3 linked regions of the Notamacropus eugenii genome follow. The protein of the gene in region 3 purifies or fractionates together with the protein of the main gene of each other region. This does not show direct contact. Links are inferred from orthologs where the notes say so. Each region holds a gene or a part of one and is shown on either strand. Other genes may lie near its edges. The genes, in order: PPM1A, SATB1 and TRIM47.

The links.
Region 1: the proteins of TRIM47 (region 3) and PPM1A purify together in Homo sapiens (affinity purification with western blotting; 3 studies listed by BioGRID, with this or other methods). This does not show direct contact. The link is inferred for Notamacropus eugenii from reciprocal best matches to the Homo sapiens genes TRIM47 and PPM1A.
Region 2: the proteins of TRIM47 (region 3) and SATB1 purify together in Homo sapiens (affinity purification with mass spectrometry; 4 studies listed by BioGRID and IntAct, with this or other methods). This does not show direct contact. The link is inferred for Notamacropus eugenii from reciprocal best matches to the Homo sapiens genes TRIM47 and SATB1.

The regions. Positions count from the first base shown.
Region 1 is NC_092872.1:303,349,472-303,353,217, forward strand, and holds the start of PPM1A (protein phosphatase 1A), read left to right. Parts: upstream 1-879; 5' UTR 880-1,015; intron 1,016-1,634; exon of another isoform or gene 1,635-1,707; intron 1,708-3,746. UniProt on the Homo sapiens protein: Enzyme with a broad specificity. Negatively regulates TGF-beta signaling through dephosphorylating SMAD2 and SMAD3, resulting in their dissociation from SMAD4, nuclear export of the SMADs and termination of the TGF-beta-mediated signaling.
Region 2 is NC_092874.1:35,639,008-35,642,753, forward strand, and holds the start of SATB1 (DNA-binding protein SATB1), read left to right. Parts: upstream 1-1,289; 5' UTR 1,290-1,407; intron 1,408-3,746. UniProt on the Homo sapiens protein: Crucial silencing factor contributing to the initiation of X inactivation mediated by Xist RNA that occurs during embryogenesis and in lymphoma.
Region 3 is NC_092873.1:342,072,502-342,076,247, reverse strand, and holds the start of TRIM47 (E3 ubiquitin-protein ligase TRIM47), read left to right. Parts: upstream 1-1,364; 5' UTR 1,365-1,405; coding exon 1,406-2,053; intron 2,054-3,540; coding exon 3,541-3,636; intron 3,637-3,746. UniProt on the Homo sapiens protein: E3 ubiquitin-protein ligase that mediates the ubiquitination and proteasomal degradation of CYLD.

The sequences.
Region 1 (3,746 bases), on a different chromosome or scaffold from region 3:
TTACAATTCATGTAGTCTTCATCAGAAACCAAGCTCTGCCTACCACCAGACTTCTGAAGGGCTATTTTGGGACCACATTCTACAGGGCTCAGAACAAAACGTGCACTTTCTCAACCACACCGAGATCAGGAGACGATGCTACTAGCCAGGATGTGTGCATGGGGCGTGGGGTGGTGGGGGAGGGCTGGGGGCGGAGTGTAAACCAAGGTGGAAGCTTCCATTCCCCCTTTCCTATACACACACAGAGACAGACACGCAGACTCACACACACACGAACTCTAGCCCCTAGCAGGCCGGCGACGGGGAGGAGGCAGCCAAGTAAAGATGGGGTAGAGGAATTATGTCATTCCTAACCTGCCCCTCCTCCACCTTACCCTGGCTGAAGTTCCAGCCCAACAACATCCGGGTCTTTCCAGCTGCTACAAGGCGCCGCAGCTGTGGAGGGGAGAGAGGAAGGGGAGGAGGGAAGAAGGAAGGGGGGGGGTAGGGAGAGGAGGAAGAGGGAGTGGGGCGTGAACGCGCGTGCGAGCGTGCGCGCTGGAGGAGGCGGAGGCGGCATCGACATTAGAAGCGGGAGCGCGCTTGGGAGCGAGACAACCGGGTCCCGGCGCTTCCTCGGCCCCGAGCTCGGGGACTCGGCGGCGGCTGGATCGCAGGACCGGGTGGCTGGGGCGGGGGTGGGGGGAGGGGGGGCGGAGAGACCGACACGGGGCCGGCGCGGCCCGCCAGCGATGAACTCGCCGTCAGCTCCCCTCCGGGACCCGCTCCGCGCCTCCGTCCCAGTGCCTGCGATGATCTGAGCGACGGCGAGGGCGCCACGAGCCGGGGGTCCCAGACACGTTCCACCTCCTCCCCCCTCCCCTTCCCTCCTCCCGGACGACCCGGCCCGGCCCGGCCCGCGACGTGCGGTGACCCCCCTCCCCTTTCCCCTTCCCCCCCTTCCCCTTGTCCCTCCCTAGCCGGGCCGCCGCCACCGCCTCGGACCGGGGACCCGCTTCTTCTTCTGCCGCTCTCGGTAAGCCCCGCGCCGGCGACGCAGGGCCCGAGAGGGGGAGGCCGCTCCGGGGGCTGCGCGGTGGAGACGGCGGCTCCTCCTGAAGGGGGGAGGGGGGGGAGGAGGAGGAGGAGGAGGCAGCGGCCTGGCCAGGCCCGGGGCCTGTAAACAAGCTGGGGCGGCTGCTCGGGCACTCCCGGGAACACCCAACAACCCCACCCCCTTACCCGGCCTCCCCCTCGGAGGAGACGAGCGGACCGAGGAGCTCGGGAGGCGCCCGCGGGGAGAAGCTCGCGGGTTAACGCTTCCTCCTGGGGCGGGCGGCGGGGGCTGGGCCGGGAGTGTTTGTGTCAGAGGAGGAGGAAGGGAAGGCGACCCTCCCCGGCCCCTCCCTCCCTCTCCCCCCCCTCCCCCTCTCGCTCCCTCCTCCCTGGCCTCTTCTCTCGGACCTCCCTGGTCTTTGGCCGGAAAACCTGGGCTTGTTAGGACCACTGGCTTTCTTAACTTCCCCCCCCCGCTAAAGGGAGAGGGAGTGGAAAGTACTGGGTTTTGAAATGGCTCTGATGTCCTAAACCCGCACCCCACCCCCAGCAACCTTGGGCTTGGTCCTCTTGTGCCCCGACTCATGGGGGTGGGGGGGATGGGGAGAGGTTTTGACTGCGATGATGATCAGAATCCAAATGTGGGAACAGTTCTTACACCGGGGGCAGGAAGTATGTATGGTTTTCCTCCAGGTGATTATTTGATTGGACCATATTTGCCTTGGAATTTGTTTTGGGGAGAATCCGTAGAGAACATTTAGGAGATGGAAAGGTGACTTCGGGGGGAAGTAGGTGAGTTAGGGGCTAGCTTTTAAATTTGAGTCTTTCTAGTGAGGTATCTAAATTTTGACGATCGTTTATTGCAAGGTAAACGGAAACCAAATCTATTAAAATAAATTGTATTGATTTTTCTCTTAGCCTTTAAACCGTGGGGGTGGGTAAAGAGAGCTTTATCAACTCAGAAATTTTTAAAGCTGAATGAAGGTTTAGAAATCATTTAGTCCAGCAGCCTTAATTAAGGAATTGAGGAAACTGATCTCGAGAATAGGTTCTTAAATGCTTGAGAAAAGTGTAACTCATCCAGCAATTTCTTACTTCGTACATAAGATCATGTGTTTCACTTTTTCAGGGAATGCATTCAAACACAAAACTGCATCCCTTCTATGATGAGGAATTAATTACAGAATCCTAATATCAAACTTTTTTTGTTTAGCTCATACATATGGAGCACATTTGTAAATCTTGTTAAGATTACCTCAGTTTATGCATTTCACCAATAGTCATAGAATTGTAGCACTTTTCAATAAAGGATTCTAAAGCATTAGAATCACATGATTAGCTATAATTTAACATTTTTCACTGTAATTTTGTGTATATAGTCTGAAGCTCAAAGAGGTTGAAAGTTGATAAGCCTAAACATATTTTGAGGGAGACAGAAGTTCTTTTGATTTGCCGTAATTGCTTTGTTGAAGGATTTTATATAAAGTATTTTCAGGATTATGCTCTCTATTGAATGTTATTTGAAGTACTTATCCTTCATACATACAACATATAAACTTTCAACATTGTGTTTCTTTGGTATTCTGAAACTGGTGTGTGACTTGTTCTCTGCAAAAGTATTTCTGTAGAGAACCTCTGCTGATTTTTTTTTCTTTGGGAAATCTAGGGATATTGCTATGAGAAACTCTTGGTAGGAGGATGGAGGTAACTAGAGAAAAATTAGCTGAAACTACAAGTCTGTACAAGCAGTTCACACTTGATAGTTGATATGAATGGCATTATAACCACATTTTAAAGGTTTTTCTGCCAGTTCTGGCTGGATCTTGCTTCTCTTGACTAGATTTGCATATTTACTAAATTTCCTGTAATTTATCATATACTTAAAATATGAAACAAGTCACAAAAATATATTCATTTGAAGCTTGAGCTCTTTGAATTGGTATTTTATTTTTCACCATGAAACTAGCCCCATCATTAAAAAAAATTCAGAGATATTGATCCATGAATAATCTGGCTCCAGACTACCATTTTAGTACACGTAGCTGAGTGATGGGTGGATGAGTGCTGGACCTGGAATCAAAAAGACCTGAGTTCATTTCTTTTAGACTGATCCCAGCTGTGTGACTCTGAGCATATCACTTAATTTCAGAATTCTTCAGTTTTTCATCTGTAAAATGGGGATAATAAATAGAACCTACTTCCTAGAGTTGTAAGAATAAAATGAGATGTTTGTAAAACCATTTGTAAGTGCCATACTTTGATACAGTTGATGTTGTTGTTGCTCTTAGTTGTTCAGTTGTATATGACTCTAGGCCCTATTTCCTTCTCCAGCTCATTTTACATTTGAAAAAAAATGAGACCAACAGGGTTATTGACTTGTCCAGGGTCACATTGCTAGTAAGTGTCTGAGGCCAGATTTGAACTCAGGAAGATAAGTCTTCTGGAATCCAGGCCTGGCACTCTGTCCACCTAGCTGCCCATTAATAGTAGAAATTTTATTATTATTTCCCTTTACCCATTCTGCAGCCCAGGGTTCATATCCTACTGACTATTTCTCACACAGCACCTTTTCTTCCATCTTTCCTTTGCACAGTGTGTCCTCTTGCCTGGAATACATCCTTCCCAATCCATCCCACCTATTTTTTCAACCCAGGTGGTCTCACTGCCTCCACTCCAAATTCTCTGGCATTTACTTTGTATGTGTTTTTTAT
Region 2 (3,746 bases), on a different chromosome or scaffold from region 3:
CACACACACACACACACACACACAGAGGCACGCGCACACACACGCACACATACACACAGAGTCAGCCCCCCCAAAAAAACAAGAGGAAGTCACAGCAGGGAACTAGGGCTGGGGGTCGGGGCGCTGGGAGGAGGATCAGACAGACACCGAGACGCTCCCTCACTTACCCCTCCACGCCTAGGGTGCAGGTTTCGCCTCAAACCTGCGGGCAGATCGCCCTCTGCCCCCCACGCCCTCTCTTTACCCTCTCCCTGCTCTCTCCTCATCTCCGGCTCCCCCCTCCCTGCTCGCCTGCCCCCTCCTCCTTTGACTCCCCTCCCCTCCCCTCCCCTCCGGCTCAGCCCGGGCTCGCAGCCTCCAGCAAACCTAGCCACGGAGGAGCGGAGCCGGGCGGTGGCGGCCGAGGCTCGGCCGGGCGGGCTGGAGGGCTCCGCACCGTAGACCCCGGGCGGGCGGCCGCAGAGTCTCCGCCAGGGGGAGAAGGAGGGAAGGGAGAGGAGGAGAGAGCGAAGGAGGGAGGGACCGAGACCTCGGCCCCGGGCGATCCAGACCCCGGCGCCCCAGACGCGCACCGAGCCGGCGGAGGTGGGGGCCGAGGCGGGGAGCAGTGGCGGCCAAGGCGCGGGCGGAGGAGGCAGAGGCAGCGGCGGCGGCGGCGGCCGCGCTGCCCGGCCCGCTCCCGCCTCCTCACCCCAGCCCGGGGGGCGGCCGGCATCCAAGGAGCCCTGGGACTGAATGCCCGGCGGCAGCCCCCAGGGCCGGCTCGCGGCGGGCTCTCCAGCTGGGGCTGCCCGCCGCTCCTCCGCGGACCCGGCCGGCTTGGAGCGCGGCCGGCGGCCGCAACTGCGGAGCGAAGCCGAGCCGAGAAGAGGCGAGCGGAGCGGAGCCGAGCGGAGCGGAGCCGAGCCCCGGTCCCCGCCTGCGCCCCCCGCCCCCGCCCCCGCCCCCTCCTCCTCTCCTGTCCCCCCCTCCGCTCCTTCCCCTCCCACTCAGGCCCTGCCTCCTCCCCTGCCCCCCCCGCACACATACACACACATACACACACACATACACACACACGCATACACACATTACCCTTGCTCTTCCCTCCCTCCCCCCCTCCTTTCTCCCTTGCTCGCTCGCTCGCTCGCTTCTTGTCTTTCTCTCCCCTTTGAACGCCCACTTCTGATGGGGGAAGAAGACAACTTGAAGTCAAGTTGCAATTAACTTCCGCGGCAGCCGCAGCCACGGGGGCAGCAGCAGCAGCGGCGGCAGCAGCAGCAGGAGCGGCAGCAGCAGCGGGAGCCGCCACCGCCTCCGCCGAGACACCCGGGAAGCCTCCGGGGCTGCTGCCCCGCACTCGTCCGCCCGCCCGCCGCCCGCCAGCCCTCCCGCAGCCGCCGCGGCCGCCGCAGCTCCCATGCCTGAGTGAGTTGGCTCTCGTTTGTTTACTCCTTCCCTGGGCCGTGTGCGGTGTATGTGTGTGAGGAGGTCTTTACAAACTTCTGCTTCGCAGCCCCCCAGGCGGGCGCCCCCCGTGCTCGGGCTGGCCCCTTGGGGCTTCCTCCCTCCCCTGCCCTCGGGCCGGGAGCGTTCTTCACCCCCCGCGCCTCCTGGTTCGGGCCCCGAGCCCCCCACCCCAGCATGGGCCGGAGGGCAGGTGAAGGAGGCCAGGAGGACTGATTGGGGAATGCCATTCATTCCCTCTCGGGGTGTGGGGATGGAGTGTGATAGTCAGTCCTCCCGACCACAGCAATCACACACACACACACACACACACACACACACACACACACACACATACACGCGCGCGCGCCCGAGCACACACACACACACACACACACACACACACACACACACACACACACACACACACACACACACACACACCTGCTTGGTACCCGAGGTAGACATAGGTATTTGAGGGGGGAAGGTCCCCTCGTGGAAGTGGAGAAGAGCCAGAGAGAAAGACTGGAGTGCGGGGTGGGGGGTGTCGGTAGAAATTCGAGGTGCCAGCTAGGCACTGCCCGGGAGCATCCCGGCCCAGCCCAGCCTGGCCCGGCCGGGAGAGCGGCGCCGGTGGATTGGCCTGAGAAGTTTGTGGCAACTTCTCCATCTCCCGAGCCCGAGCCGAAGCCGCCGCCTCCGCCGCCGCAGAGCCGCGAAGTTGCTCGCAAGTTGTTTCTAAGGAGTTGCGGCCGCACGGCAGTGGCCGTGACCGTGGCCGTGGCTGGGCTGGGCTGGGAAGGGATCACGGAAGGTAGGGAAGGAAGGTGTGCGTGAAGATAGAGGAGGGGATCCGAGGGACAGCACGCCTCGCTTCCTGGTCTTTTACCACCCGGTCGGGCCGCGGTCCTGACGGGTTCGGTAGTGTGGGCATCCGTGCCTTCTCCTTGCCCTCGGGACACCAGGACCACCTTAGGCACCGGCTTCCCCTCTAGCATGGCCTGAGACGTAGTGGCGGAGCATCTTGGACCCTCGGCACGACCTGATGTTGGGCAGCTAAATCTGAGGGTTTAGCAGAGGAGAGAGAGTGAGCTGCAGGGACAGTAGCAGGTCGGGGAGATTGGGGAGTGGGGACTGAGGTTTCTGGGCGCAGGAGCAGGGGGCAGGGGGGCGGGGAGAGGGTCAGACTGACCAGAGAAGGGGGAGGGCAAGGAAGAGCCTTCACCACTGAGCCACAGCTGCCTGTGGCCTGGACCCATCTTAACCTGGGCATTGAGAGTTAAACTTACAAGTATGAACCACAGAGTCGCATCACTAAATGCCGGAGGTTGAGACTTTGACCCTTGCGACCTTCCTCGGCTAACTTTCTGCAGCGTTCCAAAGGGGTTTCCAGGGAAATGATCTGTGACTGAGACTCCAAAATGATTATAAGAGAAGGGGGAGCAGAAGGGAGGGTTGGGAAGACCTTGTAAGAGTAGAGAGATGGTCTGCCCCAATTGCCCTGGGTTCCATATATACGTCTTTGGAGGCCAGCAGGGATGGGGAAGAAGAGAGGAGAGAGAGAGGAGTTGGTGAAATATGACCAAAGGTTTAAGTTTTATCCTCGGCAGCACCTGAAACCTAAAGTACTTCTGTTGCAGAGGAAGCTATCCCACTGAAAACTTTACTGAATTATTACGTTGCCCCTTTAAACTGAACTAAGTAAAAGATGGCCGAAGCAAATGTCAGATATATTCTCTCCAATCAAGGGCAATTCTTATTATGCAAAGGATGCGTAATTCTAAATTCTAGGATGTTAAGGTTCAAGTATAAGATCTAATAACAGCTCTTTCTTCTGTTCCATATTACCAGTGATATGATTTAGCTACAGTCCTTTCTTCTGTATATTATTTGAGTAGTACAGTAGTACATTCATATACTGTTTGCTTCAATCTGCTGGCAAGCATTAGCATTCAGGCTTACATTTTTGACAAATGTGCAGACAGGAATAACATGAATAGGCATCTTAAATATTAACAACCTAAGCATCTGTTATGAAACAAATTTAATATATTTACTCTGTTTTTCTCACATTGTTAGGAAAGGTTATAATAAGTGCATAATTTCAACTTTAGTTAGCAGAAGTAGCTGGTTGTATCTTTCACTACCTCTGCAAGGGTTTAACACAATCACTAGACATAAATACTTTAATTAACTTGGTTAGGCACATCATTAAATAAACTTTCAGTAATGTGCCCATCACATACAGACATAGCTGTGGTAAAATATGTATCTTATAGGCAAATGTTTTTTAATGCCTATACATTTTTGTAAATACAGAA
Region 3 (3,746 bases):
TCACCTCTCCTTCTTGACCTAGGCATGAATAAATCCTTTTCCCCTTAGGTTCAGCTGACATAAGGATGGGATTTTTCAAAGGGGAATTTATAATAATTTTACTGAAAAGCCAAAAGGAAAAAAAAGTCCATAGAATTGGAGTTTGCAGCATCATTACCTGAAGTTTCACTGTAGTAATAAATGACCTCCACTGTATATATATATATACTGGATATTCAATTCCTAGTTCCTTTTCTTGGCATCAATGTCTGGGATGAATTGAATGAAGGTAAAAAGTGGATTTGGGGGCAATTCTTACAGTGGCAATGGATACCCCTCTTGGGATCACAAAAAAAAAAAAATGATCGACAGACTAAGTGAAGCACAGTAAAGGGGACAGTCAGGCAACAACTGTCCAAAGCCAAAGTTACCAGAAAGAGCAGGTGGGGCTGGGGCCCATAGGACCAAAAGACAAGTGCGGGAGAGCAATGCACAGTCACATGCACTGATCCTTCCCTTCCTGGGGTTTTCTCTCACCAAGGGCTGAGGTCATTTCCCTAATTAAGGTCTAAGGAGGCCACTAATTCCCCATAAGTATGAAACTAAAGGGGTAAAGCATAAACTAAGCAATTTTTTTTCTTTTTTTCTCAGTTCATAAGAAAGAAAGGAAGTATTTTATTTGGGGAAGTGGGGAGAGATGTAGGGAAGTCATCAAAATAAGAAATATTAAAGTGTAACAACAGAACCTAAGGAGAACAGGTAAAAGGAGTGGGAATATTGATTGGCAGGGTGGGAGCTACTAGCAAGGATTCATTCCTTACCTATACAGCAGATGGGAAAGAGAGGCAGGTCTAAACAAAGATTCCCCTCCCATGAGCTAAGGGGAAGAACAGAAAGGGGAAGGATGTAAGAAATGTTTGTCTTCACAGTCAGCGATTCAGGTATTTTAATAATAGACTAGAGGAAGTGCCATGATGGAGAAAAAAAATGCTAAACCAAGAGGGTCCTGGACGGGGTAATTTAAGAATATGGAGATACCCTTAGACATATCTGTTAGGACAAGCCCTCTCCACCTTCAATAATCCATAATCGTCCTTTCCTTGAGACCCATCCCATCAGATAAGGAGGGCTATTAGTCCTCCAAAGGGAATGCCAAGTCTGGTACTTCTTGGTTCTACCTGAAACACAGAGCTGAGAAGGTTCAGCTAGGGAAGGTAGGACACCCTTCTGAGGCTAGGCTCAGAGCGATGGGCTAGAGTTCGAAGGCGGGACTGGGGGAAAAGGAGGGGGAGGCCAGTCCGAGAGAGCTGTAGGGGCGGGAGGGGGCTGAACCCTTCGGTCGAAGCCCAACGGGGAGGAGCTGCTGAGCTACCGCGCTCTGCTCATTCCTGGGCTGGAGCAGTGCAGGCGGAGCCCTTGAGAAGAGATGGACGTGAGCGGTCCCTTCAGCTGTCCCATCTGCCTAGAGCCACTACGGGAGCCCGTGACACTGCCCTGCGGTCACAACTTCTGCCTCGCCTGCCTGGAAGCGCTCTGGCCGCACCGCGGGCCCGGGGGACCCGGGGGATCCGGTGTCACTGCCCGCTGTCCACTGTGCCAGGAGCCCTTCCCCGACGGGCTGCAGCTGCGCAAGAATCACACGCTCTGCGAACTGCTGCAACTGCGCCAGTCTGGCCCCAGCCAGACCCCAGCCCCGGCCCCGGCCCCAAATCAAACCCCGACCCCGGAGCCCTCGGCGCCCTGCGCCCCAGAGCCGTGGCCGGAAGGCGAGGAGCCAGTGCGCTGTGACGCGTGCCCTGAGGGTGCGGCCCTTCCTGCGGCTCGATCCTGCCTCTCGTGTCTGGCCTCTTTCTGTACTGCCCACCTGAAGCCCCACGAGCGCAGCCCAGCCTTGCGCGGCCACCGCCTGGTACCTCCCTTGCGCCGGCTCGAGGAAAGCCTGTGTGCCCGGCACCTGCGGCCCCTGGAGCGCTACTGTCGAACTGAGCGAGTTTGCGTGTGCGACGCCTGTGCGGCCCAAGAACATCAAGGCCATGAGCTACTTTCTCTGGAGCAAGAGCGGGCTCTCCAAGAGGTAGAGGTCTAGGAGGCTTAGCTCTGTGGGAGGGAGCAGGCTGAGAGCGCTGAGTGGGGAAAGTGAAGTTCTAGAGGGGAGATTGGCGATTTTTGGCCGGGTGGCACAGGAGAAGCTCCTAACGGAAGCTTGGCAGAACTCTAAGAACTAAATGGGGGGAGCAGGAGATCCAGGAGTAGGAGAGGGCTGAGCTGAACACCTGGATCCCCAGTATAACCTGGTGGGAAGACTGGCAGGGAGGGGGCTTTGGTCTTGCTTCCAGCTTTCTGCTCTCTCCATATCTCTGAGCCACCCCAGCTCCCACAGACTTGGAGCACTGTTAGAACAGCCCAGGCTCCCGATGCCCTTCCTGGCCCAGAACCTGGAGCCTGAGTTGATCAGACTTTCTCCTGCTCCTTAGGGTCAGCAGTCTTGGGGGAATGGGATGTGGCTAGCTGGCAATGCTAGCCACAGATCCTCCGAGTCGAGGTGTCCTTGGGGTTCTTGGCGGGAGCATGTGTACAACCCCGCCCATTCTCTTCTTCCCTCTCTGAGCGCCTCTCTCCAGTCTCCTCTCCTCCCACCCCCTCCAATCCCGACCGTTTCCTTTGGCTTCCGTCCCAGTCTTGGCGCCTCTGGCCTCGGGATTTTCCGTCTCCTCCCTGGAGCGCCCACCACCTCCAGCCTGGAGGGAGTGACTCATTCCCCCCAAGGGTTTTGCATAGAATTCCCTGTTTGTAGAACTGGTTGGGGATACCAACTTCGTATATGGTAAACTTACCCCTCAAGACAACTTGCCAGGTGCTGTCCCCGCCCGTCCTACCCCTCCTCCCTTCAAATAGAGTCTAAGCGAGACTGGGTCTCTTGCCTCATACTTGCCCCCTTACCTACCACGGATTGGTCAGCGGCCAACAGACGGAGGAGGGGAAACGGGCGGATGACAACTGCATGCTTTTTGCTGCTGCGCTGGGCTGATCTTGAATATCAGGGAATTAGCTGGGAAGCCCCTCAGAGGTCATTTAGTCCTCCGGGTAACTAAAATGTTTTTGCCTTGACAACTTTTCTTACCTAGTATGACTTCATAGGAAACAGAAATTCACCATCTTCCTCTAGTCTCACCAATCTAGGGCAGCCTTTTCCTCCTCTGGATAACTCTAATTATTAGAAAGTTGTTTGCATTTTTGAATAATAACCCTAAATCCACCTCCCATCTCTTAGTTTACATTTTGTACTTGAAAAACAAGTCTAATAATTCCTTGTGTTCACATGACATTCCTTCAAATAAAGGAAATATTTGATGACTCTCCAGTTTTCTCTTCTCCAGACTAAACATCCTCTATTTCTTCATCAGGTCCTCATACAGGACGGTTTTCACCCTCCTACTTATTCTCCTCTAGCTGTATAATTACCCCACCCCCAGCTATCTATAGACACCTTCACCCCTGGACCCTGGAAGACCAAGTCTGTGTTAGCTCAATGGGTTCAGAGAAGGATGCTCTCTCCCTCAGGCTGAGAGCCCCGAGGTCCTGAGTGCTGCAGATGACCGCTTGGATGAGCTGGGTGCTAGTATCGCACAGTCTAGACGTACAGTAGCTCTCATAAAGGTAAGATTCCTAAGTCCCTTGAGACATTTGAATTCTGGAGAGGAGGTGGGGCTTGGGATACCATTTCTCCTTAATTTGACATTGACAATATCCAGGGTGGCATTCACCAA